Linked DNA regions of Diceros bicornis minor. The protein of the gene in region 2 purifies or fractionates together with the protein of the main gene of each other region. This does not show direct contact. Links are inferred from orthologs where the notes say so. Each region holds a gene or a part of one and is shown on either strand. Other genes may lie near its edges. The genes, in order: ARRB1, TCOF1, ARRB2 and NOLC1.

The links.
Region 1: the proteins of TCOF1 (region 2) and ARRB1 purify together in Homo sapiens (affinity purification with western blotting; 5 studies listed by BioGRID and IntAct, with this or other methods). This does not show direct contact. The link is inferred for Diceros bicornis minor from reciprocal best matches to the Homo sapiens genes TCOF1 and ARRB1.
Region 3: the proteins of TCOF1 (region 2) and ARRB2 purify together in Homo sapiens (affinity purification with western blotting; 4 studies listed by BioGRID and IntAct, with this or other methods). This does not show direct contact. The link is inferred for Diceros bicornis minor from reciprocal best matches to the Homo sapiens genes TCOF1 and ARRB2.
Region 4: the proteins of TCOF1 (region 2) and NOLC1 purify together in Homo sapiens (affinity purification with western blotting; 4 studies listed by BioGRID and IntAct, with this or other methods). This does not show direct contact. The link is inferred for Diceros bicornis minor from reciprocal best matches to the Homo sapiens genes TCOF1 and NOLC1.

Annotation. Positions count from the first base shown.
Region 1 is NC_080746.1:55,867,759-55,875,192, forward strand, and holds the start of ARRB1 (beta-arrestin-1), read left to right. Parts: upstream 1-4,218; 5' UTR 4,219-4,333; coding exon 4,334-4,389; intron 4,390-7,295; coding exon 7,296-7,326; intron 7,327-7,434. UniProt on the Homo sapiens protein: Functions in regulating agonist-mediated G-protein coupled receptor (GPCR) signaling by mediating both receptor desensitization and resensitization processes.
Region 2 is NC_080740.1:67,357,139-67,365,628, forward strand, and holds the start of TCOF1 (treacle protein), read left to right. Parts: upstream 1-5,367; 5' UTR 5,368-5,399; coding exon 5,400-5,507; intron 5,508-7,938; coding exon 7,939-7,994; intron 7,995-8,490.
Region 3 is NC_080757.1:11,497,921-11,505,347, forward strand, and holds the start of ARRB2 (beta-arrestin-2), read left to right. Parts: upstream 1-4,303; 5' UTR 4,304-4,531; coding exon 4,532-4,599; intron 4,600-7,427. UniProt on the Homo sapiens protein: Functions in regulating agonist-mediated G-protein coupled receptor (GPCR) signaling by mediating both receptor desensitization and resensitization processes.
Region 4 is NC_080745.1:67,168,041-67,176,509, forward strand, and holds the start of NOLC1 (nucleolar and coiled-body phosphoprotein 1), read left to right. Parts: upstream 1-5,249; 5' UTR 5,250-5,274; coding exon 5,275-5,394; intron 5,395-8,454; coding exon 8,455-8,469. Other genes in the region: PPRC1 (peroxisome proliferator-activated receptor gamma coactivator-related protein 1), read left to right, coding at 340-1,063, 2,028-2,174, 2,285-2,351, 2,463-2,584, 2,831-2,982, 3,269-3,372. UniProt on the Homo sapiens protein: Nucleolar protein that acts as a regulator of RNA polymerase I by connecting RNA polymerase I with enzymes responsible for ribosomal processing and modification.

The DNA.
Region 1 (7,434 bases), on a different chromosome or scaffold from region 2:
TCTTTCAACCCCCGTTAACAGTTAGGCACAGTTCCTTTCCTTTCATTTATTTTTTTGCTTTGTTTTTAGTTTATTTTTAAAAATTGAGATATAATTTATATACCATAATATTCAGTTTTAGTGTAAAATTTAGTGGTTTTTAGTATATTCACACAGTTGTATAACCATCACCACTATCTAATTCCAGAACATTTTCATCACCCCATAAAGAAACTCCTACCCATTGGCAATCACTTCCTATTTCCCTCTCCCACCAGCCCCTGGCAACCACTAATCTACTTTCTGTCTCTCTGTAGTTGCCTATTCTGGATATTTCATGTAAATGGAATCAAACAGTATATAGTCTTTTGTGTCTGGCTTCTTTCACTTAGCATAATGTTTTCAAGGTTCATCCATGTTGTAACATGAATCAGTACTTCGTCCCTTTTTACAGCTGAGTAATATTCCATGGTATGAATATGCCACATTTGAAAAAACACATTCATCAGTTGATAGACATTTGGGTTTTTTTTCACTTTTTATGACTGTTATGAGTAATGCTGCTATGAGCAGTTCTGTACAAGTTTTTGTGTGGACATCGTTTTCAGTTCTCTTGGATATACGCTTAGGAATGGAATTGCTGGGTCATATGTTAACTCTATATTTAACTTTTGGATGAACTATCAAACGGTTTTCCCAAGTGACTGCACTGCTTTACCTTCCCACTGGCAAGGTATGAGGGTTCCTGTTTCTCCACATCCTTGGCAACACTTGTTATTGTCTTTTTTGACCATAGCCATCCTAGTGAGTGTGAAGTATCTCCTTGTGGCTTTATTTTGCATTTCCCCAGTGACTAATGATGTTGAACATCTTTTCATGTGCTTATTGGTCACTTGTAGATCTTCTTTGGAGAAATGTCTATTCAAATCCATTGTCCATTTTTAATTGAGTTATTTACCTGTTTATTGTTGAATCATAATAGGGTCTTTATATATCCTGGGTACTAGGCCCTCTTCAAATATTTTCAAATATTTGAAAATAGTTTCTCCATTCTGTGGGTTGTTTTTTCACTTTCTTGACAGTGACCTTTGAAGCTCCAAAGTTTTTAATTTTGATGAAGTCCAATTTATCTACTTTTTTCTTTAATTGCCTGTGTTTTCGGTGTCATAGCTAAGAAACCATTGCCTTATCCAAGATCATGTCAATGTATACTTATGTTTTCTTCTAAGAGTTTTATAGTTGTAGCTCTTACATTTAGATCTTTGATCGATTTTGAGTTAATTTTTGTATATGGTGTGAGGTAGGGGGTCCAACTTCATTCTTTTGCATGTGGATATCCAGTTGTCCAAGCATCATTTGTTGAAAAGACTGTTTTATCCCCATTGACTTCTCTTGGCTCCCTTGTCAAAAGTCAATTGACCATAAATATATTCATTTATTTCTGGACTCTCAATTCTGTTCCATTGATCTACATGTCTGTCTTTATGCCAGTATCACATGGCAGTCTTGATTACTATAGCTTTGTAGTAAGTTTTGAATTTGGAAAGTCTGAGTCCTCCAACTTTGTTCTGTTTTTTTTCAGATTGTTTTGGCTATTCTGGGTACTTTGTGTTTCCATGTGAATTTTGGGATCAGCCTGTCAATTTCTGCAAAAAACTCAGCTGGGATTTTGGTGAGAATTTCATTGAAACCATAGATCAGTTTGAGGAGTATTGCCATCTTAGTGCTAAGTCTTCTCATTCTTTCTTTTGGGTATTTATTGAGTATAAAGTTGAGTTCATGCCAAATATACTGTTTTGATTCCTGAATTATTCTGCTTAATATTCTGTCATGGGCATTTCCCTGTGTTACGAAAGATGCAAGCATAATTTCAATCCTATGTACTATTCCATTGTTTGGCTGTACTATACAGAACTATAAACTCTTGGTTGTTGGGGATCTGTCTTGGAAGGTACTTTGTTCTGGGTCCGTTATGGTGCAGACCACCTTCTACAGGCACAAATGAACATTGGGAGGACTGGCGGCTCCCAGAAGAGCAGCAGAATATTAATGTCAAAGTTGACCAACAGGTAGCCCATGCTGCAGGTGGGGAATGGGCTCACTAGAGAAGCCAACATTCTGGTTCATGGAGACCTGACCTGCCAGCCCACCTGGCAGCACCACCCTGATGGAGTGGAATCAGAACACAGGATCCAACAGGCTGCATAGACACTGATAGAGCATGTTTATTTTAGGCATGTTTCTCTAGAACAGTGGATTTTTTTTTTTAATATCTCACCTCTTTATTTTTTTATTTATTTTTTATTGATGTCATAATGGTTTATAACATTGTGAAATTTCAGTTGTACATTATTATTTGTCAGTCACCGTATATATGTGCCCCTTTACCCCTTATGCCCTCCCGCCAACCCCCTTACCTGGTGGTAACCATTAATCTGTTCTCTTTGTCCATGTATTTGTTTATCTTCCACACATGAGTGAAATCATATGGTGGTTGTCTTTCTCTGTCTGGCTTATCTCACTTAACATAATACTCTTAAGTTCCATCTATGTTGTTGCAAATGGGATGATTTTGTCTTCTTTTATGGCTGAGTAGTATTCCAGTGTATATATATACCACATCTTCTTTATCCATTCATCAGTCGATGGGCACTTGTGTTGCTTCCAAGTCTTGGCTATTGTGAATAATGCTGCAATGAACACAGGGGTGCATAAGCCTCTTTGAATTGTTGATTTCAAGTTCTTTGTATAAATACCCAGTAGTGGAATAGCTAGGTCACATGGTATTTCAATTTTTAATTTTTTGAGAAATCTCCATACAGATTTCCATAGTGGCTGTACCAGTTTGCATTCCTGCCAACAGTGCATGAGGGTTTCCTTTTCTAGAACAGTGGATTTTAAACATTTAAAAATTTGCAGCATGACATTTATTTTACATTGTAACTCATTTCACCTGAAACAAAATTTTCACTAAATAATACTTACTTTTTGTATCAGGCAGGAGAAGCTGGTCTGCTGCACTAACAAACAACCCCCAAATCTTAGTGGCTCGAGAGCTTTCTTTCTCTCTCATGCTACATGTCTATCACCTAGCAGGAGAGCCCTGGGATTCAGGTTGCTGGAGGCTTCCCCATCCCGATCATTGCTGGTTTCAGTGGCAGAGGAAAGAGGGTGTGGTAGGTGGAAGAATGGCCCCCCAAAGATGTCTGCCTCCTAACCCTTGGAACCTTTGAATACATTATATTACATGGCAAAAGGGAATTACAGTTGCAGATTGAATTAAGGTTGCTAATCAGTTGATCTTAAAATAGGCAGCTGAATGTATCCTGAAGGGTCTTTAAAACTGGAAGAGGGAGGCAGAAGAGGAGGTAAGAGTGATGCAATGTGATAAGAACTCAACCTGCTGTTGCTGGCTTTGAAGATGGAGGAAGAGGCTATGAGACAAGGAATGTGAGTGGCCTCTAGAAGCTGGAGAGGGCAAGGAAACAGATTTGCCCCAGAGCCTCCAGAAGGGAGTATAGCCCAGCCAACATCTTGATTTTAACCTAGTGAGGTATATTTTGAACTTCTGAACTGCAGAATTGCAAGATAATAAGTTTATGTTGTTTTAAGCCACTAAGTTTGTGATCATTTGTTATAGCCTCCATAGAAAACTAATACAAAGGGCCTAGGGAATCATGCACCAGCCCTTAAATGCTTCTGCCTGGAAGTGACATGTGGCACTTCTATTCATATTTCGTTGGCCAGAGCGAGCCACATAGGTATGTCTAACTTCATAGGACTGGAGAAATTTGATCCACTCATATGTCCAGCCTTGGAGGAGAATAGAATATTGGTAAATATCGTAATATCTACCATACCCTTGCCATCTGCACCTCATGCTTATATCTTCTATTCTATTGCAAACAACAACAAGAACAAAGTGCTGGTGGCAATTCTTGAAGTTGACTTCATTATCAACTAATGGGTTATAACCCCTGGTTTGAAAAACACTGCTTTACAGACCCTCTTCTGCCCATGCCTCATGGACCACATGACACCTCCAAGGCATAGCTGATTGGTCCAGGCGTGGGACACCTGACCAAAGCTGGCCAATCAAATTCCTCTCCTGGGATTTGGAATTGGGCCATTCAGCCAGTTAACAGTGGGGAGCTGAGTGAGAGGCAGAGTGGAAACAAGGTCGGAGTGAGAGCCACATGAAGCCAAGATGATGGAGGAGTGGAAAAGCACTGAGTAAGCAGAGGGAGTTGGTCCACAGAGACAATGGAGCAGCCGCACAGAGAGCCGTGCAGCCGGGAAGACATGCAGCCCCTGAGGGAGAGGTGGAGAGAGACAGCAACCACCTGAGAGGCTGATGGCTTCCCCGTTCCTGGCTCCAGCCCCCATGCGTCCTGCCTGCGCGTCCTTCCCGTGAGATTTTTGCCTCCTTGTCATACCCCCTCCTCCTTTTCTTGAGCTACCCTTGGTGGGCTTCTTCCGTCTCTCCGGTGAGCCTTCATCAGCTAGAATGCCACCGGTATTTCCCTTATGGGGCCCAGCTTTGGCTCTGAGGATCAGGCTCGTGGGGCATAGATGGGACTCTGGGGTGAACCAACCGCACCGTCCCACAGTCTGGAAGCTTGGCTTTGACCACAGTCTTGCATGTTTGTGCTTGCTCCTCAAAGTGGACAGGCAGAGGCTATCTGTGTGGCACTGCACGTGTAGGGGGCCGGGGAACCGGAAGCACCCCCCAGGTGCCTTTTGTCTGACAGCCCTGGGGTCAGGAAGCCAGTGGAGTTGCTTCAGGGAGGGCTTGGCTGTGCGACAGAGTGGAAACCACATGGGCTCTGGAGACAGGCAGCCACAGTTTCCCTCTCTGAGCCTCAGTTTCCTCATCTCTGACATGGGATTGTTGAAGCATCAGCAACGTTCTGGGAAAAACACTTAGAGACCTGACTAGGGCGGAACACGCTCTCAGCGGCCTGGGCAGCTGCTCTGGTTGTTTGAGGAAGCCATCAGCATCCTGGCTTCCTGAGGAGGTGGCCCTGGGGGCTGGTGGAGTTAGCGACAGGATGTTCCCCATGGCTCGCCATGCTTCCTGCCCCTTGTCACCCTCCTCTCCTTCTCACCCCTTAGCCGCCCTTTCATTTCTTCCTCCTCCCCTCCCCTCTCCTGTCCTCATTTCCCCTCTTTTCTGTTATCCTGATGTTGATAAAAACACCTGCTTTAGGACAGCAGCAGGATCGGATATAAAGACCCAGCCTCTGGAGGCAGACAGAAAAAATTGGGTCTGAATCCCGACTTAGCCTCTGTTTGCTGTGTTCCTGGGCAAATTACTACATCTCGCTGAACCTCAGGTTCATTATCTATAAAGTGGGGGTTATAATGCCCACTCCACAGTGCTGTTGGGAGAGTAATTAAATAGGCACTCAGCAAATGCTGTGTCCTTCTTACCTCCCGCCCTCCTTCCTTGATTATCACTCCTCCTAGCCTGGCCCTGGCCCCCTCCTGTGTTCCTCTCAAGGATCACTGGAATGGCTTTCCCTGACTCGGTTATTTGTGGCTTCAGGCATTTGTGTCCCCTCCTCTCCCTCAGACCCAGGCCTCCCGAGGGTAGACTGACGCTTCTGGAAGCAGCTGGGGTCCCTGTGGCCTGTGCCACTTTTCTGGTCTCCTCTGTAGGCCCAGCCCTAGCGGGGGAGCTGCTGATTCAAACTGTGTGATCTGTATTTTTTCTCACTTTCGCAATTATTACACCCCAGCCGACTGTGGCATCTTCACACTGCGAACACTGATAAATATTTATGAGGAGGAGAGAAGCCCAGAACTCCTAGGGGAGGTTGGGGAGGGCAGTGCCAGGCCCTTCTTTGCAAGCCAAGCTCAGACCCATCCGTGGTCCTTTGGGCCCCATAAATAAGGGGGTGGTGTGGGCGGGGGTGGGCTATGGAGGCAGCACAGAGCCACCACCCACTCGCCTCCTTGGAGGAGCGACTGTCACTGTGACACTGTGGCCTCACCCTGCCTTGCCCTGGACGCCTGCTGGACCTCCTGCTCCTGGGAAGGATTTGGGCTGCGTGGATTCCTCTCAGCTACGTGTGGGCCTGCTCCATGCTCTGTCTGCTGCATCTCCCTCACCCTCTCTTGTTGTTTGTTTGTTTGTTTTTTCATCTGTTGTCACACCTCCAGGGCCTGCATCCCTGTCCTCTCCTCCCTTCCCTCCCTCCTCTAACACCTTCTCTTATCCTCAGGGTCTCTGTCGCTGTCTTTCGCTTTTCTTCTCTCCCTCCCAACATTACCCTGAGCAATTCTGGGGCTAGATGATGGGCGCTAGGTGAGGGGGTCTCAGGCTCCCACACCCAGCTGGAGGAGGCTGCACTGTGCTCTGGAAGGCAGGGAGCGCTTGGCGGGAGTGGGGACCATGCCTCTGCCTGACCCCATGTCCAGTGCTCTGCTGTGGCCACGGGCAATCCCTTCCCTTTCCTGGGCCTCAGTTTCTCAGTTGATTCCTTCACTCATTCATTCATTCACTCGCTCAACTAATATTTATTGAGTGCTTGCTCCCTACCATTCATTAACACGTCTTTGTTAAACACCCACTAGGTGTGCCCTTCTAGGGCTTGGGACACGTCAGTGAACGAAAGAGACAGGATCCCTGCCCTCAGAGCTGACACGTTAGCAGTGGATAGGCGTGAATGTGGTCAGCAAGCCCCTCATGTAGTAGGTTAGACAGTGGTGGGCACTGTGGGAAAAGGAAAAGTGGAGCGAGGGCAGGAGTGGGAGTGGGGAGTAGGCACAGGGCGAGGCCTCATCATGTAAGGGTGGGGGGGGCTGGCAAGCAGAGCTGTTGGGGAGGGACTGCTCAAGCAAAGGCCCTGAGGCAGGAACCGACCTGGTGTGTTGGAGGAACCCCAGCAAGCTGCCATGTGGCTGGAGGAGTGAGGGAGAACAGCGGGAGGTGATGCGGGAGGGAAAGGAGGCAAGGCAACCTCCAGACCTTACAGGCACTCCAGGCTTTTCCCTGCGCCAGCCAGGAGGAGTTTGGGTGGCGGAGTACGACTGACATCCTGACAGCCTCTCTCCACCTGCTGGGAAGAACAGACTGAGGGGCCGTGGCCGGAGCCCAGGAGACCTATAATGGCGACAGTGCGGCTTGGGTGGGGGCAGCGGCGAAGATGGTGAGATCTGATTATGCCGGCACTGTTGCTGCTCTCAACGCTTGGTTGGTGCCTGAAAGTCACTCTGGGCCCCTTGTCCTGGGTCCTGCAGAGGGATGGCCCGCAGGAGCCTTCCCCTGGGCGAGATGTGCTAACCCTGGCCTTCCCTCTTTCTCTCTGCAGGGTGTTCAAGAAGGCGAGCCCCAATGGAAAGGTGAGTCTCCATCAACAGCCCCCCGGCTCCTCCCTGACCCCAGACTCGTCCTGTCTTGGGCATCTCTCCTGACCTTGCGGGACCCTGCACAGCCCTGTCTGCAGGGGA
Region 2 (8,490 bases):
TATGTCTATGAATTGTTTGACTTGCTACTTCAGTAATAACTTTTAAACCTTTTGTAAACCTTTAAAATCTCCAATGAGATTGAAGAAAAGAGAAAGAGAGAAATTGTCATCCCACGAGAGGAAAGGAGGCTGTGAGAAACCTCCTGGCCACAGTGATTTGTTCCAAGGAGAACCCATTGTTACGATGGGAGAAGGAACGGTCTCTAGGTCTGGGGGCAAGGGCAGCCTTCCCAGATGAATCCCTCTCTTGAGAGTTCCAATGCTGGAAGGGCCTTTGTCCAACTGCTCAAACCAAAAGAAATGCTGAGGATCAGAGAGAACAAGAGACTGGCCCAGGTCACACAGCAGAGCCAGGCCAAAAAGATATTTTCCTGACTTCCGGCCCAGTAGCCTCTCCCCTGTGTCATGCTACCTCCCACCTCTGTGCAGGAGCCACTTCTGCTGGGAAAAGAAGGTTTTAGCACCCCACCTGCTTAGCTTCCTTCTCTTCTGATGACGGGCCTTCCTTCACTCATTTCCCGAATGCCCTCATTGTGCCCTGCTTGAGAATTCCAGATGACTAAGGCATGCTGCTTACCCGAGAGGGGCTCAGAGGTTGAGTGGTCTGGAAGCTTCTGATTTCTACCACTAACAAATGCATCTTTTTTTAACTGGTAGAAAAACGCTCTGAGGCTAATTTTTTTTAATGCGCTGTTTTGTTTGCTGCTGTCTTAATTGTTGCCATGTTATATTTTATCGGTTTAATGTTTTAATTTTGTGCTTGGGCCCCGAGGCAATTCAGTGAAGGGTATGATTTGGAAAAGCAAGGATATAAAGAAATTGTCCACAGAAGAGGCAGCCTCCCAGGAGCCGAGGACAAAGCATAAGTGCCTAAAATGAATTTTATTAGGAACAAAACAAAAATAAACAACGTGTTGCCAGACAGAAGATATCAGACCATCCTGGTTTTGTTTTTTAATTTAATACCAGTTCTCCATTTCTTCCAAGGTCAGCAAAGGACTCACAACACGGTTCCTTCTCCATTGCCTTCTAGAAGCCTTCCTCATTTCTGCTTCCAACCCTATACTCACGGTGTGCGCCCTGCCTGCCCTGCCCTCCTCTCTTCTTCAGGAAGCAGGCTATAACCACCCTTGCACTTGCCAACGTTTATTGACTGCAGTTGGGGATAACGCAGCCAACAAGACAACCAGGAGTCTGCCTTCAGGGAGTTTACATTATAAGGAACGCATTCTCAACCGGGGCAATAACGCCCCCACGGAGGGTAAAAATTGGTTCTCGGAGGGGTGAAAAAAAATTGACCATCTTACAATGATTTGTATGCTCGTCACCCTGTTCGCTTTCTCAGTGAGTGGCCCATCCAGCCACCCAATCAGCAACCTGGGAGCTCATGGCAGCCTCGTGGCGGCCCAGTACGCAAAGGCTTCCACTCTCTCCCTGAAAATTGACGCCATCTGTCTTCATTCCCCACCTACCCAGCCTAGATCCGAGGGTCCAGAGATTAGGCACCATTTTTGCCAACAGTTCAGACACTGTTCCTTTTTTTTCCACCCATCTGGCAAAGCCCTAGGTCTGGGTAAACCCTCTAAGTACTTTCCCCCTGCCTGCACCTGAGGAGGTGAGCTGTGAAGGGGGAAATCACACAGCTGGCAGGACAGGACACATAAATTAATGGTCACCAACCTCAACTGGGTTGTCAACACTATCAGGCAATCGGGGAGTTTGTGGGCCAGTTTGCTCCTCCACTCTCCGAATGCTCATTCTCCTCCTTCCTTCAAACTCCTCACCACCTCTTCCTCGCTCTCAGCAGAAGACCTTGCCTCCCACTTTGCAGAAAAAATAGAAGCTCAAGATGAAATCTCCCTTAACATCCCACTACAAACCTACATCTACATCTGCACCCATCCTCTCTTTGTTCCTACTTTTGGTTCTAGAGAAGTCATCCCTCCTCCTCTCCAAGACCAGCCCCTCCACCTACACGCCTGATCCCATCCCCTTGCACATGCTCGTGCACATCACTTGATGATTATCTCCCCTATTTCCTAAACCCTTAATTAATCTCTCTCCCCTTCAGGCTTGATCTGCCATCAGCCTGTAAACAAACTCAGGTCTCTCCACCTTATAGCACACTTCCCCCCAACACACACTTAGACCCTGTCACGGCATCTCGCTCCTCCCCTTCACACAAAAACTTCTCAAAAGATCCACTGCCTCCCTCATCCTTCCTTCTCTCATCAGACCACTGCCATCTGACCTTCTCCGTCACTCCACAGAAGTAGCATTCCCTACAGCCACTGACAATCCCCATGCCTGTCAGTAAACCAAGGCCCATGGTTCTATCCTCATCCCATCCGACTCTCAGAGCAGTCTGCATGGACACTTCCCACTTTCCCAAAACTCATCCCTTGGCTTCCTGCCCTCCGCCCACTCCCTGGGTTTTCTCCTACCTCTCTTGTCCATTCCTTCTCAGCCTGTGCAGGCACATCCTCCTTTCTGCAGCCCTAACCTGTGGGTGTGCCTCAGAGCTCCAGCCTGGGCCACTTTCTCTTCTCTCCATGTTCTTCTCCTCACTTATCATCTCTCTACTGACAACTTCCCATTTTCATGTGAGTCCAAACCCAGGCTTCCAAGTGCCTACTCAGCATCTGCACTCGGTGTCTCAAAGACATTTCAAGCTCAGCGTGTCTAAAGTGGAACTTGCACTTTTCATGTCCCCTCCACACCCTCCCCTTGTTGCTCAGCCCCCATCCCAGTCCTCTCCTGTTTTCCCCATCTCAGTGAAAGTCACTGCCTGCCTGTTTGCACAGACAGCTCAGAGTCCATCCTAACACTCCCTCCTTACCCTCCATTCCAGCACATCTCTATGACAATTTGACTTCCTGATAACTTTGAAACCTTTCACAGTTCTCAGCTCCACTGCCACCAGTGCCACCCCCATTCTATTCTCCCTGGATGCCTGCCTGCACTCCTAACCCTGTCTTCCTGCATCTACTCATACACTAGTATTCCACTCTCCACTGGGCATTCACACAGGTCACATTAAAATTCAAATATCATTCTCTTCCTCTTGGGCCCACACTGTCAGTGGCTTCCTTCACTTTTAGGATGAAGAGAAAGATCCTTAATGTGGAATCTGGCTCTGCCCACCTTCTACACTCCCCAGTCCCCCTGCTTTCACTCTAGGCCCTGCTACAAGGGCCTTTTCTCACCTCTTCTCTCAGCTATACCTTCTGCCTCAGGCCCTTTGCACAGGTTCTTTCCTCTGCCCAGGATTCTCCCCACCACCATCCTCCCCTACACATAGTTCAGATTTCCTCACAAATATCACTTCCTCAGGGAACCCTTCCCTAACCCCCAAGAAAAGATAGCTCCCTCCTTCCTGTTAATGCTTTCCCAATAATGGCTCACACACATACAAGCACAGCACTGTTGTTGGGAATTCACCTGCGCATTTCTCCTTAGAACTCATTTACTCCTCATGACAACTCTATGAGGTAGAAATTATAATTATCTCTATTTTACAGATGAAGAAACTGAGGCACAGAGAAGTTATGTAACTTACTCAAGGTCACCTAGTTAATAAGAGGCAAAGCCAGAATTTGAACCCAGGCAGTGTGACTTCAGCAGAGCTTTTAAACACTCTACTGTTCCATAAGAAAACACTATCCTTTTCCTTCTGCACTTGCTCACTGTTTGTAACAATGTATTGGTATGACTATTCGTTTAGCACGTTTCTCCCCCATTAGACTGTAAGCTCTTATTGGGGTAGAGACTGTTTCATCCCCAATAGTAGGCCCTCAATAAATATTTGCTAAATGGCTGAATGTAGATTAGTCTTCTCCCTCTTTCTTACTCACTGCATTCAATCAGTCACCTCATCCTGTCCTGTTTCTTCCTGGAGCTGCAGTTCCTAACCCTAGGAGGTTCAGGTACGTGCTTATCTCTGTCCTGAAATTGGATGGAAAATGTTATGTATCCATACACATTCAAAATTTTCTACAGTAAAGGCTAGGTGGTTCATGCTGTCTTCAGATTCTCAACAGGGCCATGAAGTTAAGAAGAGCTGATTCAGGGCCGGCCCCGTGGCTTAGTGGTTAAGTGCACTCACTCTGCTGCTGGTGGCCCGGGTTCGGATCCCACACCGACGCACCGCTTCTCCAGCCATGCTGAGGCCGCGTCCCACATACAGCAACTAGAAGGATGTGCAACTATGACATACAACTATCTACTGGGGCTTTGGGGGAAAAATAAATAAATAAAATTATAAAAAAAAAAAAAGAACAGCTGATTCAAATATTCTCCAGCCTCTCTCATCCTCTCCCTGCCAACCTCGCCTCAACAACTACGATAGCCTCACAGCTAGTATTGTTCTCCACAAATCCATCCTCCATGCTTTGGTCATAGTAATCTTTTAAAAACATAAACCCAGGTCACCCTCCTGCATTAAACCAGTCAGAGACTATCTATTGCCCTTGGAGCAAAAGTGCAAAAACTCTGCTGGGGGAGGGGATGCTGTAGGCCCTGTCTACTTCTCCATCCTCCTGTGTCCTCACTGGTTCCCTCTTCCCCCCAACTCTATAGCCCAGCAGCACAGACTGGGTTCTATGTTTGGGTTTCTGGCCTATGCCCCGTGGCTTCTCCTGTCTACCCTCAGGAGGTGCCCTCTGCCTGGGGTGCCAGTCCTCTTCTCTGCACCTAGAAATTCCTATTCCATCTTTAAGCCTCCACTGAAACGTCTCTTGGGGGTTAGGTGCCCCTCCTCCCTGCTCACATAGGCTGTGCCTATCCCCGAGAAAGCACAGAAAGCACCGACTATCTCTGTTGTCCCCGTGAGCTTTGAGGGCAGCCGCCATGGCTTATTCATCTTTTTATCCCCCTATCCTAACTGAGCGCTAGCCCAAGGTACGGTGCTCAATAATGATTTGTTCAGTGAATGAATGAATGATGACAAATAGTGCCTGAAAAAAGTGTGAAATGAATAAATGAGTGGGTAATTGGAAGTTTGGGTCTGGAGAGAGATGCAGATGAGGATGTTCAGACATGAGTAAAACCCGATCGCAGCCATCAGAGAGCTAACAAGCAAGACTAACCTCTTCAAGGAACAAGTCTGAAGGATTTCAGAGGGAGTTACCCAAATCACGGCCGGCCCAGGGGTGGGTCCAGGTCTAACCACGCCCTCTCCCCGCCAATGGGAAATCTCATTGCCCTCCGAGTCTCCGCCCCTTTCACCCGCCGGGGAGGGGCCGATCACGCTACAGGAGACTACATTTCCCGGCGTGCCGCGCGGCTCCGGCGAACGAGGAGCCGGAAGTGGGGCGCGCGAGGTCTAAGGGCACGCGGGAAGTGGCGGGCGGGGATTGAGGGGGGCGTGCAGGTGAGACGACTGGCCTGGGGTCGCTGGCATGGCCGAGGCCAGGAAGCGGCGGGAGCTGCTTCCCCTGATCTACCAGCATCTGCTGCAGGCGGGCTACGTGCGCGCGGCGCGGGAAGTGAAGGAGCAGAGCGGCCAGGTAAGCGGCGCGCGCCGTGTGCGAGGGCCGCGTGCAGGGTCTGGAGAGCGGCGGCCCGCACCCCCTGTCCTGGCTGCCTGGCGGGCCCCCGGAACTGGATCCCGCGGTGCTCGGGGACGCGGCCAGGGGTGCCGAAGGAGCCGCAGCTTCTGCTCCCTCCTGCGGCTCCCAGTCCCTCTGGGCCTCAGTTTCCCATCTGTGCAGTGGGCGGGCCGGGACCTGTGATCGGATGCGCAGGGTTTTGTAATTCCCGCGCCCCGTACCTCCACCCCTTTCCTGGTGGCGGCAGTTTAAAGTTTCCTAAATCTCGGGCCACGTGGCTCCGCGTGACCCCCTCGGGCGAGAAGGTTGCTGCGAGTCTGAGGGATGGATAGCGACCAGCCCCTGGGGGCGAAGGAGAGCGCCGGGAGAAGGGGCCTGTGTCCCCTCAGTTGAGCTGGAGCTCAGGCCCTTAGCAGTCCTTCGGTGTTGAGTCGGACAGCATTGGGATTCGAACTCGTGGTGCAGTCATTTCTTACTCCATTGATTCTTACAGCAACTGTTCACCTGGTGCTCAGAGCACACGGTCCCCCAGCCCTCCTAGAACTAACAAAATCTAAGTCTAGTAAAGGAGATAGACATAAATCAAAGAATCCCCAAAATAACTGTACACTTAACACTACATTAAGTGCCAAGAAAGAGAGGCATAGGGTGCTAAGACAGAGGTGGCAGATTGCCCTTGTCAGCGATAGCCAGGGCTGCTTTCCTGAGGGAGTGGATGTTGATTTGAGATCTTAGAGAGGGGAGGTAGGTATTCCAGGCAGAGGTGCAAATGCCCTGCGGTGGGAGAAAACTTGTGTAGGTACTGGCCTCAGTAGAGCTTGTTGTGGCTTAAGTGTGAGGTACAAGGGTGATAGAGGTCCCTGGGAAGATAGTGGGGGAGCTGGCTGGAGCCTTACTGTAGGCAATTTGGGCTTCATCTAAAGAGCAGTGGTAAGCCACTGAAAGGTTTTAAGCTGGTATGGTGGACACTGGCCTGATTAGTCAATATGGTGTAGGCTCTGGTCCTGATGCTTGCTCTCAGGACCTCCCAGGGAGACTAAAGGGTGATGAGCCCTAAGACGTTATCTATGCTTTTCCCAGCCCTCTCTGGACCTCAGTTGCCCTTCTTACTCCAGTTATATCCCTTAACAGCTAAGAGGGGCAGGAGACAGCGCCCATTCGTTGGAACATTTGCCTAGGCAAAAGTAGCCTGCCCTTATGGAGCATACATTCTAGCAGGCGCAGACAGATGACAAATAGGAAAAAGAAGCGAATGATATAGTGTGTCGGGTGATGGTGGGTGTTAGCTATAAAAATAAGGCAGGCAAGGGGGATAAGGAATATTAGGGTTCAGTTATAAATAGGATGGTCAGGAAGCCCCACCAAGAAGGTGGCATTTGGGCAGAGACCTGAAGGAACGGAGGGAGTGAGCTGTGTAGTTAGCAGGAGAGAACATTCCAGACAGAAAGAATAGCAAGCCCTGATGGGGGCCGGGTGGCCTGAGACGTTTGAGGGACAGTGAGGAGGCCAGTGGGCCTGGGTCGCAGTAGAGTGAAACTGACGCTCGCAGTCTCTGTGTTATTGGCTCATGTGCTGGGGGCGCTGACCAGGTTGTCTCATTCAGGCCTGATAGCAACCTGCTAGGTGGGTACTGCCGTTGTCCCCATGTTATAAAGAAGGAACCTGAAGTTTGAAGAGGTGAAGAGATTAGTCCAGCCAGTTAACAGAGGAGCTCTGCCTGACACCAGGTGCACCCTCCTGGCCACTCTGTACCCCCTGACACTGCCCTTGCCCCACATTGTTCACTCAGCCTCCTTGGGGCACTTAACACCCAGGTTCTTGACATTTGCACCGAGAGTGGGCCCTCTGGCATCGGCTCCAAAGGCCTAGATTCCAGCTGGTTCCCTCTGCTTCTACCAAGGGACTGGCATCATTTGGTTCCAGTCTTTTCCCAGTGGATGAGTGGACTGCAGTCATGCCACCCGGATGCCTCTGGTGTCTGGGCTGTGGTTTGTACTGCCCTGGGGAGATTGACCAGCCTGGCCTTTAAAAGCCTTTTGAAAGGTCAGAGGTAGAAAAAGCCCTGTCTCGTGGCCTCTAAGCATAGAGAGTGGCAGGGAGGCTGGGGGCTGGAAAAATGCTAGCCTGGAAGATTCCAGCTCTAGTCGGTCAAAGGTACCTCTCACCAACATGTTGTCTTAAAAGGTTTTAGCTGGAAATACTTGTCCCGCTTGTCTCTGGAAGGTTTGAGTGGTACAGGCAGGGCCAAGCAGACATGTTTCCCAAAGCAAAAAGACCCCTTTCTCAACCGCTTGTCTGTGCAGGTAAGGAGGTCGTGGAGAGTTGGGCCCAAGGAGGACCCTTACTGTGCTGGAGCGTTAATTGCTGTTTTCTCTTTCCTTGTTTGCAGAAAAGTTTCCTGACTCAGCCTGTAACCCTTCTGGACATCTACACACACTGGCAACAGTAAGTCTGTTGGGGCTGAAGGAGTGGAGTAGGGACACGCCGAGCTCTCGGCTTGGAATAAGCTGGGATACTAATCTGTCCCTATAGCCCACTGTGGACGCCATTATCACCCCCGGGAAGCCAGGTCACATGGATGTGAGTCGGAGAGGATATTGAGAGCTGCAATCAATGTCTTTGAAGGACAGAAGCTTTCAGCAGCTTGTTATTCATTTAGTCAGCAAACATTTATTGAGTACCTACTGAATGCCAGGCCCTGTTCTAAGTATGGAGATGTTGTCGTGAGTGAGACAGACATGGTTCCTTCTGTCCTGGAGCTCACATTGGAGTCGGGGAGGGAGGCATGCCTCAAACAATGAAACAAACAAATGTAAAATTACAGTGGTAGTAAGGATTATGTAAAAGAGGGACCTGGTGCCGAAACCTCATAAACAGTTTAGCCTAGCCTCATTTGGGGGTTTAGGGGAGGCTGCCCTGAGGTGACCTTTGATGTGAGAGC
Region 3 (7,427 bases), on a different chromosome or scaffold from region 2:
CATTCTGCCTCCAAAATACATTAACCTAATAGGGTTATTTTTTCTCTATTTCTCCATCTCCAGTGCCACTCTAGTCCAAGTCACCATTCTCCCTCCCCTGGCCTCTTATGATAGTCTCTTCCATCCACCTCTTCATTGCTCTCCTTGATTCCCTCTTGGCCCTCTGTAGTCCCTTCTCCACACAGCAATGAGTGGTCTTTGCAAATGTAAGTCAGTCCTTGTCTCTCCCTGCTTAAAGCCCTCAGTGGCTTCCAAATATGATGTGAATGAAATCCCATCTTTCACCTTGGCCTACTAGAATCTACATGATCTGACCCATACCCACCTCTCTGACCTCAACACATACCACATGTATCACTCTCCCTCTCTTTCCCTATCCTTGAGCCAAACTAGCCTTCTTTCTGTCCTCCAGCAAGCCCATTCCCACCTCAGAGCCTTTGCACATGCTGCTGCTTCTGCCTAGAGAAATTTTCCTTTGATTCTATATGACTGACACCATCTTGCCATCTTCAGAGAGGGCTCCTTTTTAAGAAGTCTCCACTGCAACTCCCATCACCCTCTATCACATTATCCTGCTTATTTTTTTTATAACTTACAGCACTATTCAAAATTTATGTATTTTCTTATTTATTGACTATTTCTGTCTAAAATACAAACTCCATGAGAGGGGTCTTATCTTCTTCACTATTTTATTCTCATTACCTAGAACAGTGCCTGGCACATAAAAGGTGCTCAATAAATATTTGTTGAGTGAATAAATGAATATTGGATGAAAGAGGATGCCTATTTTTAATTTTGATAGGAACTAGCAAAATGCCCTCTAGAAAGGTTCCATAGGTTTACACCGGAGCACTATGTAAAATAGTGCTCTATACCTTATATATCATCCCAATATTAGGCTTATTTATCTTTTTAGAATTTCTCAATCTGAAACATGAAAAATATCTCCTTCTTTTAACTCATTTTCCCTGATCATTATGAAATGGAGTAACTTTCATATGTTTAATAGACATTTGTATTTCTTTTTTATTAATTACTTTTCATACCCTTTACCCATTTTCCTATTGAGTTGTTCATCTCTATCTTATGAGTTTGTAGGAACTCTTTGTATGTGTGGGAAATTATTCTTGATTGTTATATGTGTTGCAAGAGGTTTCTTCCAATTTGTCTTTTTATTTTACTTGTTATTTTTTAATCTCAGTCTTTTTGAAATAAGGTGTTGTGATTAAGGGCACAGACTCTGGAGCTAGACTGGTGGGTTCAAACACTAGCTTTGCCTCTTGCTAGTCATGTGAGCCAGCAAGTTACTCAACTGTGCCTCCACTTCTTCATCTGCAAAGAGCAGATAATCATAGAACCTTAACTCATAGGGTTGTGAGGACAAAATGAACTGATGTTTGTCAAGTGCTTAGAACAATGTTTGGCACATGGTAAATACTATAAAGTGTTAGTTGTTATTATTATAGCCCTGGGGTTTGATATACTCCGAGGCTTTTCCTAACCTCCCAGAGTATAAAAATATTCTCCTGTATTTTCTCCTAATACTTGCATAGTTTTACTCTGTGCATTTAGATCTTTAACCCATCTGGAATTTATTTTGTTTAAGGTATGACATAGAGGTATAACTTTTTTTTTTCCCCAAACATAGCTGATTGTCCCAACCCTATTTAGTGAATCTGCCATTATTTCTCTATTGACTCGAAATGCTACCACGTGGATCTGTATCTGGACTCTATTCTGTTTCATTGCTCTGTTTAGTATTATTGCACCAATAACACAATTTTAATTACTGTAACATAAATTATCTTATCTGGTAAGACAAATGCGTGCTATACTCTTATTTTTCAAAAATTTCCTGGCTATACTTGAAAGTTGATTCTTCTGATTATGTTTAGAATCAAGTTCCTCCCAAAAAAGTCTCGTTGTTATTTTATTTTATTTTATTTTATTTATTTATTTATTGTGAGGAAGATCAGCCCTGAGCTAACATCCATGCTAATCCTCCTCTTTTTGCTGAGGAAGACAGGCTCTGAGCTAACATCTATTGCGAATCCTCCTCCTTTTTTCTCCCCAAAGCCCCAGTAGATAGTTGTATGTCATAGTTGTACATCCTTCTAGTTGCTGTATGTGGGACGCGGCCTCAGCATGGCCGGAGAAGCGGTGCATCAGTGCATGCCCAGAATCCGAACCGGGGCTGCCAGCAGCGGAGCGCGCGCTCTTAACAGCTAAGCCATGGGGCCGGCCCCTTGTTATTATTTTATATGGCGTTAAATTTATAGACAATTTGCAGAGAAATGACGTCTTTATAATGATGGTTTTTCCCACCTAGAATATGGTGTATATCTTTCCTTCTTTCTGGCCTCCTTTACTATCTTTCTAAAGTTGTCTTTATATTAGTATCTTTTAATACAGTTGTTTTCATGCCACACAGACCACTTATCTTTCAGTTCCAAAAGCAGTTTAGATATGTAGCAATACACATCTCATTACCTTCTGATCCTGACCCTTTGACAAAAGTGATTCACGAGTCGAAAAGAATCTAAAACTTGAGAGGGGTGAAGAGTGAGCTTAGAAGGTGGTGATAGAACTGAGGGGTAGGGAGGTGGCAGCTGGTGGACAAGGTGTGTGTTTGAACCTTAAAGATGATCTCAGAAACTGTCTTGTGTGCATAGAAAAGTGGAGGGAGAAGTGTGAAGTTAGTTCATTTGGGAAAGATGGGGAGTATGGGAAATGAGATGGAAGAAGAAAAAATATTTTAGCTCCTTAAGTCCAGAAATGTCCATCATCCATCACCCTCCCCAAGTCCAGTCAATTTTGCCCTAGAAATGACTCTTCAGCCTCTTCTCCCTCCCACTCTATCGTTCATCATTTCCCCTTGACTGGTTTCAGTCTACAGCAGCCTTGCCCCACTCCCTCCACCCTCCACATTGCCCAGAACTATCTTCCTAAAAGAGAAATCTCATCATGCCACTTCTTTGCTTAAAAAACCACTACTGGATCCATGTGTCCTCCTCCAGGGCAGGGCCCCAGTCTCATTCCTTCACCTGCTATACAAAATCTTTGTTTTGACTCTGTTCCAGTCTCCTCAGCCTTCTCTCTCCTGCCATCTAACCCCACAAGCACTTCAGAACAGGATGTGCCTGGCCTTTCTCTCTCTTTGGAATACCCTTTCTCAACTTCTGCCCACTATTCAGAAAGATTGTCCTCAAATGTCTCCTCCTCTGTACAGCCTGCACTCTCTCCACCCCCGCTCCAGTCAAATGCTGGTAGTTGCTTTGTCTTCTGAGTCATACCTCCATTATAGCATTCCTGGGATCATAATACCAGTTCATGTGTGTCCTCACCTATACTACGAAGGCTGGAGCCATGTTAATTAATGTCTGTGTCCCCATCGCCTACCACAGTGACTGGCACAAAATAGGCATGGATGGATGGATGGATGGGGAGGGAGGGAGGGATGGCTGGGTGGGTGGGTGGGTGGATAGATGGGGAGGGAGGGAGGGAGGGATGGGTGGATGGATGGGTATTAGTTGGAATGAGTGGATGGAGATGGGTAGTTAGAGAAATTAGAAAAGTAACCCTGCGAAGATCAAAAATAGACACCAGGGGGAGCTGACACACCACAATAAAGAAGTGGGAGGGCGATCCCAAGAAGGCTGCAAGCTCTGGGATGAGCGGGTGAGCGGCGAGCACTAAGGCAAGCACCACGCAACTAGAACCGCTCACCCACGTGTGTATCCCCTCATTCTCCTTCCCCGACTGTGCTTGAGCTCATTGCACCGCCTCCACCGCCACAGAGAAAGCAAACAAAGGGGAGGGAACCCCTGCAGGGCCCTGGATGCAGGGAGCCAATCAGAGGGCTGTAATCTTCTGGCAGGCGGGAGGCTTCGTTTAAGGGAGCCCAAGCAGTTTCTAATGGGGTGCGGAGGGACGGAGAGATGGGCGGGAAGAGCAGGGAGTAGACACAGCGCTGGCCGGGGAGAGATCCCTCGGGAAGGGTGGAGATAGAGCGCAGAGGGGGCGGGGGCGGAGCCAATCGCCGCCGGTGTCTGTGAGAAGAGGGCGGGCAGCGCCGCGGCGCGCGCGATCCGGGCTGACGCATCAGGCCCCTGTTCCCCAGGATCCGAGGGGGGGCGGGAGGGGAGGGGGAGAGGAGAAAGATCGGAGGGCGCGCGTGCGCAGTGGCGCGGGGAGGAGCAGGGACCTGGCAGCGGGCTAGGAGGCTGCAAGCGAGCCGCGAACTGGGCGGGCGGCAGGCGCGTGCACCATGGGGGAGAAACCAGGGACCAGGTAAGGCAGGTGGGGCCACGCGGCGGGACGTGGGCGGCGGCTCGGGGCGGGTGCTGGAACGGTCCCCAGACAAGGACACCGGGGAGAGAATCCGGGAGCCGGACGCCTGGGTCCCTAGGGAGCAGCCATCCGGGGCCGCACGCCTAGGTCCTCGAGGATAATGAGGGGGATGCATGCTAGGGCCCCTGCAGAAAGCGAGGGCTGAGGGGATCAGGAAGCCGGCATCTGAGTTCTCGCAGGGATGTGGGGGCCGGAGGACTGGGTTCTCCGGTGCAGGCTGCGATGCAGAGGCGGAGGAAGGAGGAGCAGGTGGCCGGTCCCAAGGGGTCGGGTATGGGCAAGCTGGATGCCGGGAGGGGGATTCCCCCCTAGACTCGTGCCGAGCCACTGAAAAGCCTCCTGTCCAATACCCCACAGGCAGTTGGGCTGCCCCCACCGTCCCGAGGGCCGGCCCCGCTTCCAAACTTCTGCCTTCCCCTGGGTTGCTAGGAACAACAGCTTCATCTTAGGGAGCAGAGTGCACGGCGACCCTCCCCGATTCTGGGCCTTACCCCTCTTCCCGGGGGTGAGGGGAGGCAGTATCTGCCCTGGGCACGCCATCCACTCCCCGGATGTTTTCTGTGCAATCGAGGCTCTTTCCTTCCACTGACAGCTCGAGTTCTCTTTTTTGGTCTCTAGCAAAATCCACTTCCTGTTGTGACCCAACACCCCTAAGGGGCCAGTGGGTGAATGCCTGAGTCCCTGGGGAGCAGGAGCAAAAGAGGAAAAGATTGGGGTTGTATGCCTCTATCCAGAGGGCATCAGGAATGGAGGCCTGGTCCTAAGCTGTCACTCGTTCTACAAAACACTATCATATCAGCACCCCCATAGAGTAGGAGAACTCAGGCTTCTAAGCACCAAGTCGACTAGTATTGGAAAGAGATGATCAGAAGGAAGATTAGTGTCCTGTATTAGAGATTAAACACCCCAGAGAAAGGGGAAGTCGCTAACTTGAGGGAGGGCCCCGATTTCCGTTATGTGGTTCAGGGAGGAGGACGGATGGACCAGAGGGGGACTGCTGACTTGGCACAATTCCCCACATCCCCATCAAATTCTGGGCCACAGGAAACGGAGAGAATAGCAGGAAGTGTGAGGGGGCACTGCTTCTGCTGCCCCCGCTCATTGGGCATCTCCCTGGTCACCCCCACACTCTGCCTCCTCAGTATACACATGCTGCTCCCCCACCCTCAGCCTGGCAGGAGGTTGGCTGGGTTAGGATCCAAAGGGCAGGTGCCCTGCAGCTGCTCCAAGGCAATTATTCCAAAGCCACACTCCGGTTGGCCAACTGACTGTAGCTGTTGCAGCCCTCTGCCAGGGCTCCTAATAGGAAGAAACACTGGGACAAAGAGGAAAACCAGAAGCAAAGAGGGAAGAGAGCTGGATGATGCCATAGCAACCAGCCCCCAAGTTGGGACAAGAGGGGGGTGCTTATTCCAGCTGCCACCATATCAACGTTTGCTCTCCTTTATTGAATGGGAATACCTGAGGACCTCCATACCCTTTGCCTTATGGCCTTTGGATAGCTTCTGGGAAGAAGGGGCAAGTGAAGTTTTTATAGCAGAAACGGCTGGTGGGATTGGAGAAGGGATGGACCAGTTGGCAGGATTTCAGTTTCTACTATCTGGGGACCCTTCCCAGGGATCAGATCACTGCCGAGCCAGAGTGGATTGGGAGTGGATTGTAAGGTGGTGCAGCAAAGAACAAGCCCACAAGTGGCCAGAGCATTGGAGTAGCTAGACACTTCACTACCATCCCAGCAATGAATGGAGTCCATGCTTAAATTGTTTCAGCAACTGGGAAGCAAATCCCCTTCAATTCAACAAACCTGATGCCAATTACAGAGGCAGAGTAGTGTAGTCAGCCGTCTGTACCTGCGGGCTCCATGTCCGCAGATTCAACCAACCGCGGATCTAAAGGCCTACAATGGTCGTGTCTGTACTGAACATGTACAGACTTTTTTTCTTATTGGCTAAACAATACAATATAAATGCTATTTACATTCTATTAGGTATTATAAGTAATCTAGAGATGATTTAAAGTATACGAGAGGATGTGCATAGGTTATATGCAAATACTACCCCATTTTATATAAGGGACTTGAGCATATGCGGATTTTGGTATCCCCAGGGGTCCTGGAACCAATCCCCTGCAGATGCCAAGGGACAACTGTATAGTGGTTTAGCGATGAATGCATGGACTTGGAGCCAGACTGCCTCTGTTTGTATGTGAATTCCACCATTTACACTGTTACCTTAGGCAAAATACTTGACCTCTCCTGTACCTTAGTTTCTTCAACTGTAAAATAGGAATATTAGGACCTCCATCATTGGGTCATTAGGAGTATTAAATTAGGTGAAACACTTCAAACAGTGCTGAGCATGGAGTATTCACCCAATAAATGTTAGCCAGCATCATCTTTGTCATATGGCTGGCATGGTGCTGGGGATGCCTAAGTGAATAAGGCCTCTGATGCTCACAGTCTGTCTAGTGAGACAGATGATACACAGCTAACTGCCCTTGTTTGCTATCACACCACAAGTAAAACATAAACAAGGTGTGACAGAAGCCCAAAAAAAGGAGTGACTAGGGTCTGGGTTGGATCTGCTTTCTAAAGGAGGTGATATCTGAGCTGGGCCTTGAAAGACAAATAGGCTTTTAAGCTGCTGAGATCAGAGATGCGGACAGTTGGAGGTTAATGGAGTAGGGTCACACTTAGGTAGTGCCTACAGTAGAGCACTTGAGAGGCAAAGGCCAGGGCCATTGCTCTTCCAAGTACTCCAGCTGTCATTGGAGCTGGAGACCAGAGAAGATGGAAAGAGGGTTAGGTCTTACACAGACATTGCTGCGACCTGCCGTTCAGGTTCCCCTGGGGGAGGTCCTTTGGGAAAAGCCTGGGTGGTTCCTGTGGCAACCAGTGGCCATTGCCATGGGAGGAGAGGAACTAGTGAGGGTGGACCAGGGAGGGGTTGCCATGGCACCCAGCTTGGAGGGGCTGCCATGTTGGAAATATTAAGGACCTGTGGTTGCCTTTCCTTCAGGAAGAAGTGGGAGGGGCTAGGGCTGGGCAAAGCCCCAAAGCCTCCAGGCAGGAATCCTGG
Region 4 (8,469 bases), on a different chromosome or scaffold from region 2:
TCCAGGCAAGATGCAGCCCAGAAGTTGGGCAGTGCTGGGAGGAGGGGTGGGTCTAAAAATGGAGAGGTAGACCAGACAGGACGTGGTCACCAGCTAGGTTTGGGTAGTGAGAGGTTGAGGGGTTCAGGAGGATCCTAGCTGGCTGAGTTTCTATTGCTGGTCCCCAAGATGGGGAACTCAGGAGGAGTAGTAGTTGCAACAGTAGAAGAAGTTCGGCTGTTGACCATTGTTGGTGTACTTTGTGAGATGAGGTGGGGGTCTCTGGAGCCTATATACGCAGTGTTTAGAAGTGTAGAATGGGATCTCATCCTGCTATCTCCATCCTCCCTCCCCTCACAGGGCTCACCCCTCCAGCTACCCCTCCCCACCAGTTATGGAAGCCCCTGGCTGCTGTCTCACTGCTGGCCAAAGCCAAATCTCCTAAGTCCACCGCCCAGGAGGGAACCCTGAAGCCTGAAGGAGTTACAGAGGCCAAACATCCACCTGCAGCCCGTCTCCAAGAAGGGGTCCATGGCCCTAGTCCAGTCCATGTGGGCTCTGGGGACCATGACTATTGTGTTCGGAGCAGGACCCCCCCAAAAAAGACACCTGCCCTAGTCATTCCAGAGGTGGGCTCCCGATGGAACGTCAAACGCCACCAGGATATCACCATCAAACCTGTCTTGTCCCTGGGCCCAGCTGCCCCCCTGCCCCCACGCACAGCTGCTTCCCAGGAACCACTTGATCACAGGACTAGCAACGAGCAGGCAGATCCCCCAGCTCCTTGCCTTGCCCCATCTGCCTTGCTGTCCCCTGAGGCTTCGCCCTGCCGGAATGATATGAACACTAGGATTCCCCTTGAGCCCTCAGCCAAGCAGCGGTCAGTGCGCTGTTATCGAAAAGCCTGCAGGTCAGCCAGCCCCTCAAGCCGGGGCTGGCAGGGCCGCCGTGGCCGCAGCAGCCGTTCTGTCAGCTCTGGGTCCAACCGGACCAGCGAAGCATCTTCCTCCTCATCCTCATCGTCGTCTTCCTCATCCCGATCCCGGTCCAGGTCCCTCTCCCCCCCACACAAGAGGTGGCGAAGGTGAGCTCTGATGGCCTGTTAGGTCCTCTCCATTTAGGAAGTTCATGTACTCTCTTCTGGTTTACTTTAAAAGCTTTTGCACATTGAGTTTAATACTTTCAGGCACTAAGGCTTCTATTTCTCTCTTCTCCCCCTTTCCTGGATTGTTGGAGGAGGCAAGCGTCATCCAAGCTTGAGAAGATAGCTTCTATCCCCTGTTGGAGTTTAGGGTATCCCTGAGGTCTCCTGCTTCCTTGAGACCTGCCTTGGGGAGACCGCTAAGGTTTGATCTTGACCATGTTAATTTCTTCGCATACTGTATCAGTCCTCATTTCTGAGGTGGTATGTGGAAAGGTGGGATAGTGGATTGTTAATGGCAAACAGTCCTTCCTTTAATCATCTGTTGAGGAAAGAGTCTGAGACAGTTCCTTTGGGCGTCACTGTGGCCTCATCTGTTTTCCGGCAGTACCTTTTTCTCAGTAACAGACACAAATTTTCCTACTTAATCAGTGAAGAATTCTTGGCTTGTGACAGTGAAGTATATCTTCAGAAATGGCCTCTACTACAGGTCTAGCACAGTCTCCCCTTATGCCATGGTTACAGTACTCCTGTGAGACATATTAGGGGAGCAGGAATCCAGAGACTCAGGCCTGGCACCGCCAGCTAGTTGTAAGACCAAGGGCCCAGCCCTTTATCTCTCTGGGTCTCCATTTATTTTTCTTCTTTCTGATTTGTTAAATATTTTTCATTTTTAATTGCATAACTGAAAATAAGTATGGTCTGTGCCAAAACACTCTAAAACATTCCAGATACATCTAAAGTTCATGAGGACCTCAATTTGGTCAGCTGTGAAGAGTTCTTTTAGACCTCTTCTGCTCTGCTTTCCCTTTGGTCCTGAGCTTCCTGATAGGGAGACAGGGCTGGGGCCAAGGTGAGGTAAGTGGAATATACCTGCACCACTCCCAGCATTCCATTTATTCTTCAGGTCCAGTTGCAGTTCCTCTGGACGATCCCGAAGATGCTCTTCCTCTTCCTCCTCCTCATCTTCCTCGTCTTCCTCATCCTCATCATCCAGTTCCCGAAGCCGGTCCCGCTCCCCATCCCCGCGCCGGAGAAGTGACAGGAGGCGGCGGTGAGCATGTATTCAGGGAGTCAGTGCATCTGGGATGCAAGTGCCTGAGAATTCTGAGACTTGAGCTGTCTTATGTCTGGGGGGTTGATGGCACCTTCTTCTTTTGTCAGGTACAGCTCTTATCGTTCGCATGACCATTACCAAAGGCAGAGAGTGCTGCAGAAGGAGCGTGCAATAGTGAGTAGGGGAACAGGAGGAGGACGCTTGCCCCTGAGCCATGAACTTGGAGAGCCATCTGCAGCTGTGGCCCTGGCTCACAGTGTGTCATTTTTCCTTGACCCAACATAGGAAGAGAGAAGAGTGGTCTTCATTGGGAAGATACCTGGCCGCATGACTCGGTCAGAGCTGAAACAGAGGTTCTCTGTTTTCGGAGAGATTGAGGAGTGCACCATCCACTTCCGTGTCCAAGGGTAAGCTTGGGCCCTAAGATCAGGATGTCCTTTCTTGTCCCATTCATCTACCTTGATGATTCTTTGTCTTTCCCTCTTGCTCTGGTGTGCTGGGAAGTATAGGACACCTTCATTTCTACAGAGGGTTGGCCATTTGGGGAATGAGAAGAACCACCCCAGTCCCTCTCTGTACCCTGGGGAGCTGTTTCTTCTCCATGGTATGTGCCCAGATAGCCATCCCAGCCCCTGCCTCACCCTCCCCACCAGTGACAACTATGGCTTCGTCACTTACCGCTATGCTGAGGAGGCATTTGCAGCCATCGAGAGTGGCCACAAGCTGAGGCAGGCAGATGAGCAGCCCTTTGATCTCTGCTTTGGGGGCCGCAGGCAGTTCTGCAAGAGAAGCTACTCTGATCTTGGTGAGTAGAGGGAGGCCTTGAGGCTTTGATATATTTCATCGCCTCTCCAGAAGGATTCCCAACCTTTTGACAGTGGGGCTAGGCAGACTTGTCTTCATCTGACACACGAAGAACCTAAGGGGTGGGATGAGAGGAGAAATGGAGGCTCTTCTGTCTTTTTGACGTAAAATCAGGGTGATTTTAGCTCCATCCATTACTGGGATGGGAGGTGGCTGGCCATTTGAGGACCCTGTGGTTGGGAAGTATGGTCAAAGACCTTGATGTTTGTCTCTCTCTACCTCTATAGACTCCAACCGGGAAGACTTTGACCCTGCTCCTGTAAAGAGCAAATTTGATTCTCTTGACTTTGACACATTGTTGAAACAGGCCCAGAAGAACCTCAGGAGGTAACCCTGGGCCCTTCTCCCCCTCCCCCTTTTCTTTGGAGGTGCCCAGCCTCCTCCATCCCCCTCCCCCACTCTAGGGGAGAGAGCTGCTAGTGAGGAGATGACTGTTTTATAAAGAAATGGAAAAAAGTGAAATAAAAAATGTGTTAAATCAGATTTTTTAAAGGGGTATTTGTTTTTTATAGCAAGCATTGAAACAAGTTAACTTGCATTCCTATGTAAGATGGATGGGGTTGAGGGGTTCCCCCAAAGTTTGGAAGATCTAAGTCACTATTCAGACTAATAAACGTGGACTAGAGAGAACTCCCAAGTGCTGTTGTGCTTCTTTCTGTGGTGCTGGTGCCAGACATATTCACTTGTCCTCTATGAATACAATCAGGGACATGCTTACCTCCATTGAGTTCCTAGGACCCCTCTTTGGTCAAGTGCAAAATCCTATTGGACTTGAAACTTGGCTCCTCAAGTGTGTTGTCAGTGAAATCACTTATCTAGGGCAGTGCTTCTCAAACTTGAAAAGGGCGTTTGAATCATCTGGAGATCTTTTAGAATGCAGATGCTGATTTCAAGGGTGAGGCCTGAGATTCTGCATTTCAAACTAGGGGATGCTGATGCTACTGGTCCAGGAAGGGATTTTAATATCAAGGACCTAGAGGAAGCTCATACTTGTTCCCAGTAGAGGTTTTTAAATAAAAGGTTTTCTAAGGCTTGTGTGTCATGTACCATTTTAGCTTGAGCACAATGCTTGCTTGGCACACAGCAGGTGCTCAGATGTTTAAAGAATGCTTGTATGTGGATAGACCTCTGGGGAAGAGGGAGATGTAGAAGTTTTATCTAGGAGAGGGGAATGCCTGTTTTGAGAAAGGCAAAGGAGAGGTGTGTCCCCTGAGAAAGTGGATCCTTACTTAACCTTCCTGAGGGGCATTAAAGGGAAGTAGTGAAGGGGTAGTGGGTAGAATTGAAGGGATTGCTGTCTGCCAATGTGAACTGAAATATGATAGAACTTGGAATTAACTTGGCAGGCCCAGGCATTGATATTTCAGTACTCATAGCAAAGGGAGAGGCAGTTGGGGGGGTTTTCTGCATCTCCCACAGGGAGAGTTCACTGTGTGAACTGTGACCCAGGAGGTAGAAGGGTGATTTTCAGGACTATAGGTTTGAAGAAATTGCTGCTGTTGTCACTCAGGTTTGGTGCACAACCCCTTTTCCCTTCATGGAGCTGAAGTAAGGCTAAATAAGGAAGGAAAGGGTTGTCTCATGGGCAAGTCATGATTGAGGGAGGGGAGTTTTGGGGATCAACGCCCCACTACTACCACGGATAATCTGAAGGATCCTCTGCAGTGGAGGTGGGAGTCCAGAGGCTGAGGTGGTCTCTGAGAAAGGGCCTCCCTAGGTGTTGGAGGCAGTGAAGATGAAGGGTGGGAATCCACTGGCAGCGCGAATGGGGGCGGTTGGGAGATCTTGTGACCAAGTCTGAGAGTCCAAGAACAGTTCGAGCCCGCCGGTCCACTGATTGCTCTGGAATATGAATCACAGCTGGGGTGCTGGAAACCGCTGCTCTGAGAAGTGGTGCCTCCAGCGGAAAGACGGGGCGCGGGAAGTGCAGAGTTTTCCCGCCACGGCCGAGGACGTGACCTCTGACGTCAGGGCTCCGCCTTCACAAGGTGGTGGACGGCGGGCTCCGCCCTTACCAAGATGGCGACGCTCGTGGGACCGGAAAGAGCTTACAGATTTCGCCTTGACCCTGCCTCCGAGTTGGAGGCGGGACCGCCCTATGGAGTGCGCCCTCCTCTTGCGCTGTGCGCCCGCGCGGCGCGATGGCGTCACACGGGCCCGCCCCCAGCCTCAGGGTTCCCGAGTTCCTGAGTCGTGTGCGACGGAAACGGTAGTGACGCGTATTGCCCGGAGGATGGCGGACGCCGGCTTGCGCCGCGTGGTTCCCAGCGACCTATATCCCCTTGTGCTCGGCTTTTTGCGGGATAACCAGCTTTCGGAGGTGGCCAATAAGTTCGCCAAGGCAACAGGCGCTGTGAGTCCCGGGCGTGGGGCATGGGCTGGGGTGGGATGACCACAGGGCTCTGGGCCCTGACATGCTTAGGTTTGCGGGTAGGGAGATCTGTGGGGTGCGCCAGCCCAGTGTCTGCGGGACCTTTGTGCCGAGCTCTCGGCGGTGACCGGAGAACGCCGGCAGTCTCGGCACCTCCTCTTACACGTGGTCTGACTAGATAGTGCTGAGTTTTGTTGCTTTTTTCTGGTGAGCGGTTCAGCGGCTGCAGCGTGGGACCCTCGTGGCCCAGGTCACGTGGCCGGCAGAGTGCGGCGAGGAGGGATCTCGGTGTCCCACGGGAGCATTGGAGGCTCCAGGTTCCTTATTTGAGCTTTATGTTGGCTGATGTAAAGCGTGACTTGACCTTAACTCTCGAATTTACCCGGAACTCGAAGATAAATGAAATGCTTTAGAAATGAAGGCTGGGGTTTTCGTTAGTAAAGAAGAAAATGAACGAGAGTAGAGGCAGAGTTCTGCTTTTAATTGTACTGAAACGAAATTGAGCATCATAAGCAGGCGTAGCGGTGGGCTTGGATCTTTGACATCTGGAATCAAACAAATCTAGGTTTGAGACCAGGCTCTGCCACTTTTAAGATGTATGACCCGAGCATCTTGCTTAACCTCTAGGAGTCTGTTCCTATTTCTATGGGGATGTCATCCTCCACTTCATAGGATTTTTGTGAGTTTCAGTAACATGATACACGCAAAGTCGCAATCCCAGTGCCTGGTGCTCAGGAGGCATCAATGAGTGAAAGCTATTACCATACTTCAGGAAATTTAGGATGTTCCAAACACATGTAAAAGAAGACCAGGAATGTGAAAGATTTGGAAACTACATCTCAAGAAAAGCAGACATGATTGCATGGGAAGAAACCTTGAAAGAACTTAGAGTAGCAGAGGGGTAGTCTTTGGCGGTCTCAGCCTTTCAGTAAGAAGATAGGCTTGTTCTTTGTGGCAGAATCAGGCTGCAAAAGGAGAGAATTAGATCGGCCTCGGAAAGGACTTCCTTAAGCTGGGACAGCCTGCCGTGTGATCTGATAGAACTGCCTTTGTGTTGGAATTGTTTTGAATTGACTGTTAGGGAGGCTGCAAAGAGTGTTTCCACAATGGGCTAGATGGAATTGGGCCTTTCAGAATCAGGATTCTCTTTTTCTTTTTTGTGAGGAAGACCAGCCCTGAGCTGACATCCATGCCAATCCTCTTTTTGCCGAGGAAGACTGGCCCTGAGCTAACATCCGTGCCCATCTTCCTCTGCTTTATGTGGGATGCAGCCACAGCATGGCCTGACAAGTGGTGCATCGGTGTGCGCCTGGGATCCGAACCCTGGCCGCCAGCAGCGGAGCGCATGCACTTAACCACTACGCCACAGGGCCTGCCCCCAGGATTCTTTTTCTTTTTTTTTTTTTTTTTGTGAGGAAGATCAGCCCTGAGCTAACATCCATGCTAATCCTCCTTTTTTTTTTTTTGCTGAGGAAGACCGGCTCTGAGCTAACATCTATTGCCAATCCTCCTCCTTTTTTTTTTCCCCAAAGCCCCAGTAGATAGTTGTATGTCATAGTTGCACCTTCTTCTAGTTGCTGTATGTGGGACGCGGCCTCAGCATGGCCGGAGAAGCGGTGTGATGGTGCGCGCCCGGGATCTGAACCCGGGCCGCCAGTAGTGGAGTGCGCGCACTTAACCGCTAAGCCACAGGGCTGGCCCCCCAGGATTCTTTTTCATGTGACAAAAACTAGTCTTTGTGGAGGGCTTACTAAGGGGCCAGATGCTGTTTCCAGATAGTAAGCCCTTTATGTGCATTATTTCTTATTTTCTCAACCTAATAAGATGTATAGTATTATCTTCATTTTATAGAGAATAGTCTCAGAAAGATTAAATAATTTGCTTAGGATCACGCAGTAATTGGTGAAGGTGAGTTTTACATCTATACTCGTCTATCTCTGAGCCTGTGCTTTTACGTGTACTGTAATGCTTGGCCTTTTTTTTTTTTTTTTTTTTTTGAGGAAGATCAGCCCTGAGCTACCATCCATGTTAATCCTCCTCTTTTTGCTGAGGAAGACTGGCTCTGAGCTAACATGCATTGCCAATCCTCCTTCTTTTTTTTCCCCAAAGCCCCAGTAGATAGTTGTACGTCATAGTTGCACCTTCTTCTAGTTGCTGTATGTGGGACGCGGCCTCAGCATGGCCGGAGAAGCGGTGTGTCGGTGCGCGCCCGGGATCTGAACCCGGGCCGCCAGTAGTGGAGAGTGTGCACTTAACTGCTAAGCCACGGGGCCGGCCCGCTTTGCCATTTTTTTTGCATCAATTAATAATTTATGGAGCCGGCCCCGTGGCTTAGCAGTTAAGTGCGCGCGCTCCGCTGCTGGCGGCCCCGGTTCGGATCCCGGGCGCGCACCGACACACCGCTTCTCCGGCAATGCTGAGGCCGCGTCCCACATACAGCAACTAGAAGAAGGTGCAACTATGACGTACAACTATCTACTGGGGCTTTGGGGGAAAAAATAAATAAATAAATATAATTAAAAAAATAATAAAAAAAATAGTTTATGTTAGTGTAATTAATAGCTGAATGCGATTCTGTGCTGAATACATAATATAACTTTCTACCAGTCTTCTCTTGGAGGCTAGTTTCCAAAGGTTTGGTATTATAAACCACATTGCAGCAAACACACCCTCTTGGTATAAATGTTTGTGCCCTTGTTTTGTGAGTAAGGATAAATTCCTAGATAATACATTGCTAGAGTAAAGAGAATGCACATTTTTAAAGGCTTTGATAAATAGGATTGGTAGGCAGGGGATAGATGGTGCCAGAAACTACAGGAATAGCTCAAGTTTTTGATACCAAAAATTGGGAAATACGTAAAGAGAATGTTTTTCTCCTAATTTATGCAAGTAGGAGAACTCTTACAATGATGTAACATTTATACCAAATATAGCAGGTATAAAACAGGTCACTTTTAATGGGAGAATAACACAAAATCTAATCTCCCCTACAATAACCAGGATAAAATTTCTTTACTCAGCTCTTTCTCTTTTCTGCTACAGACCCAGCAGGACGCC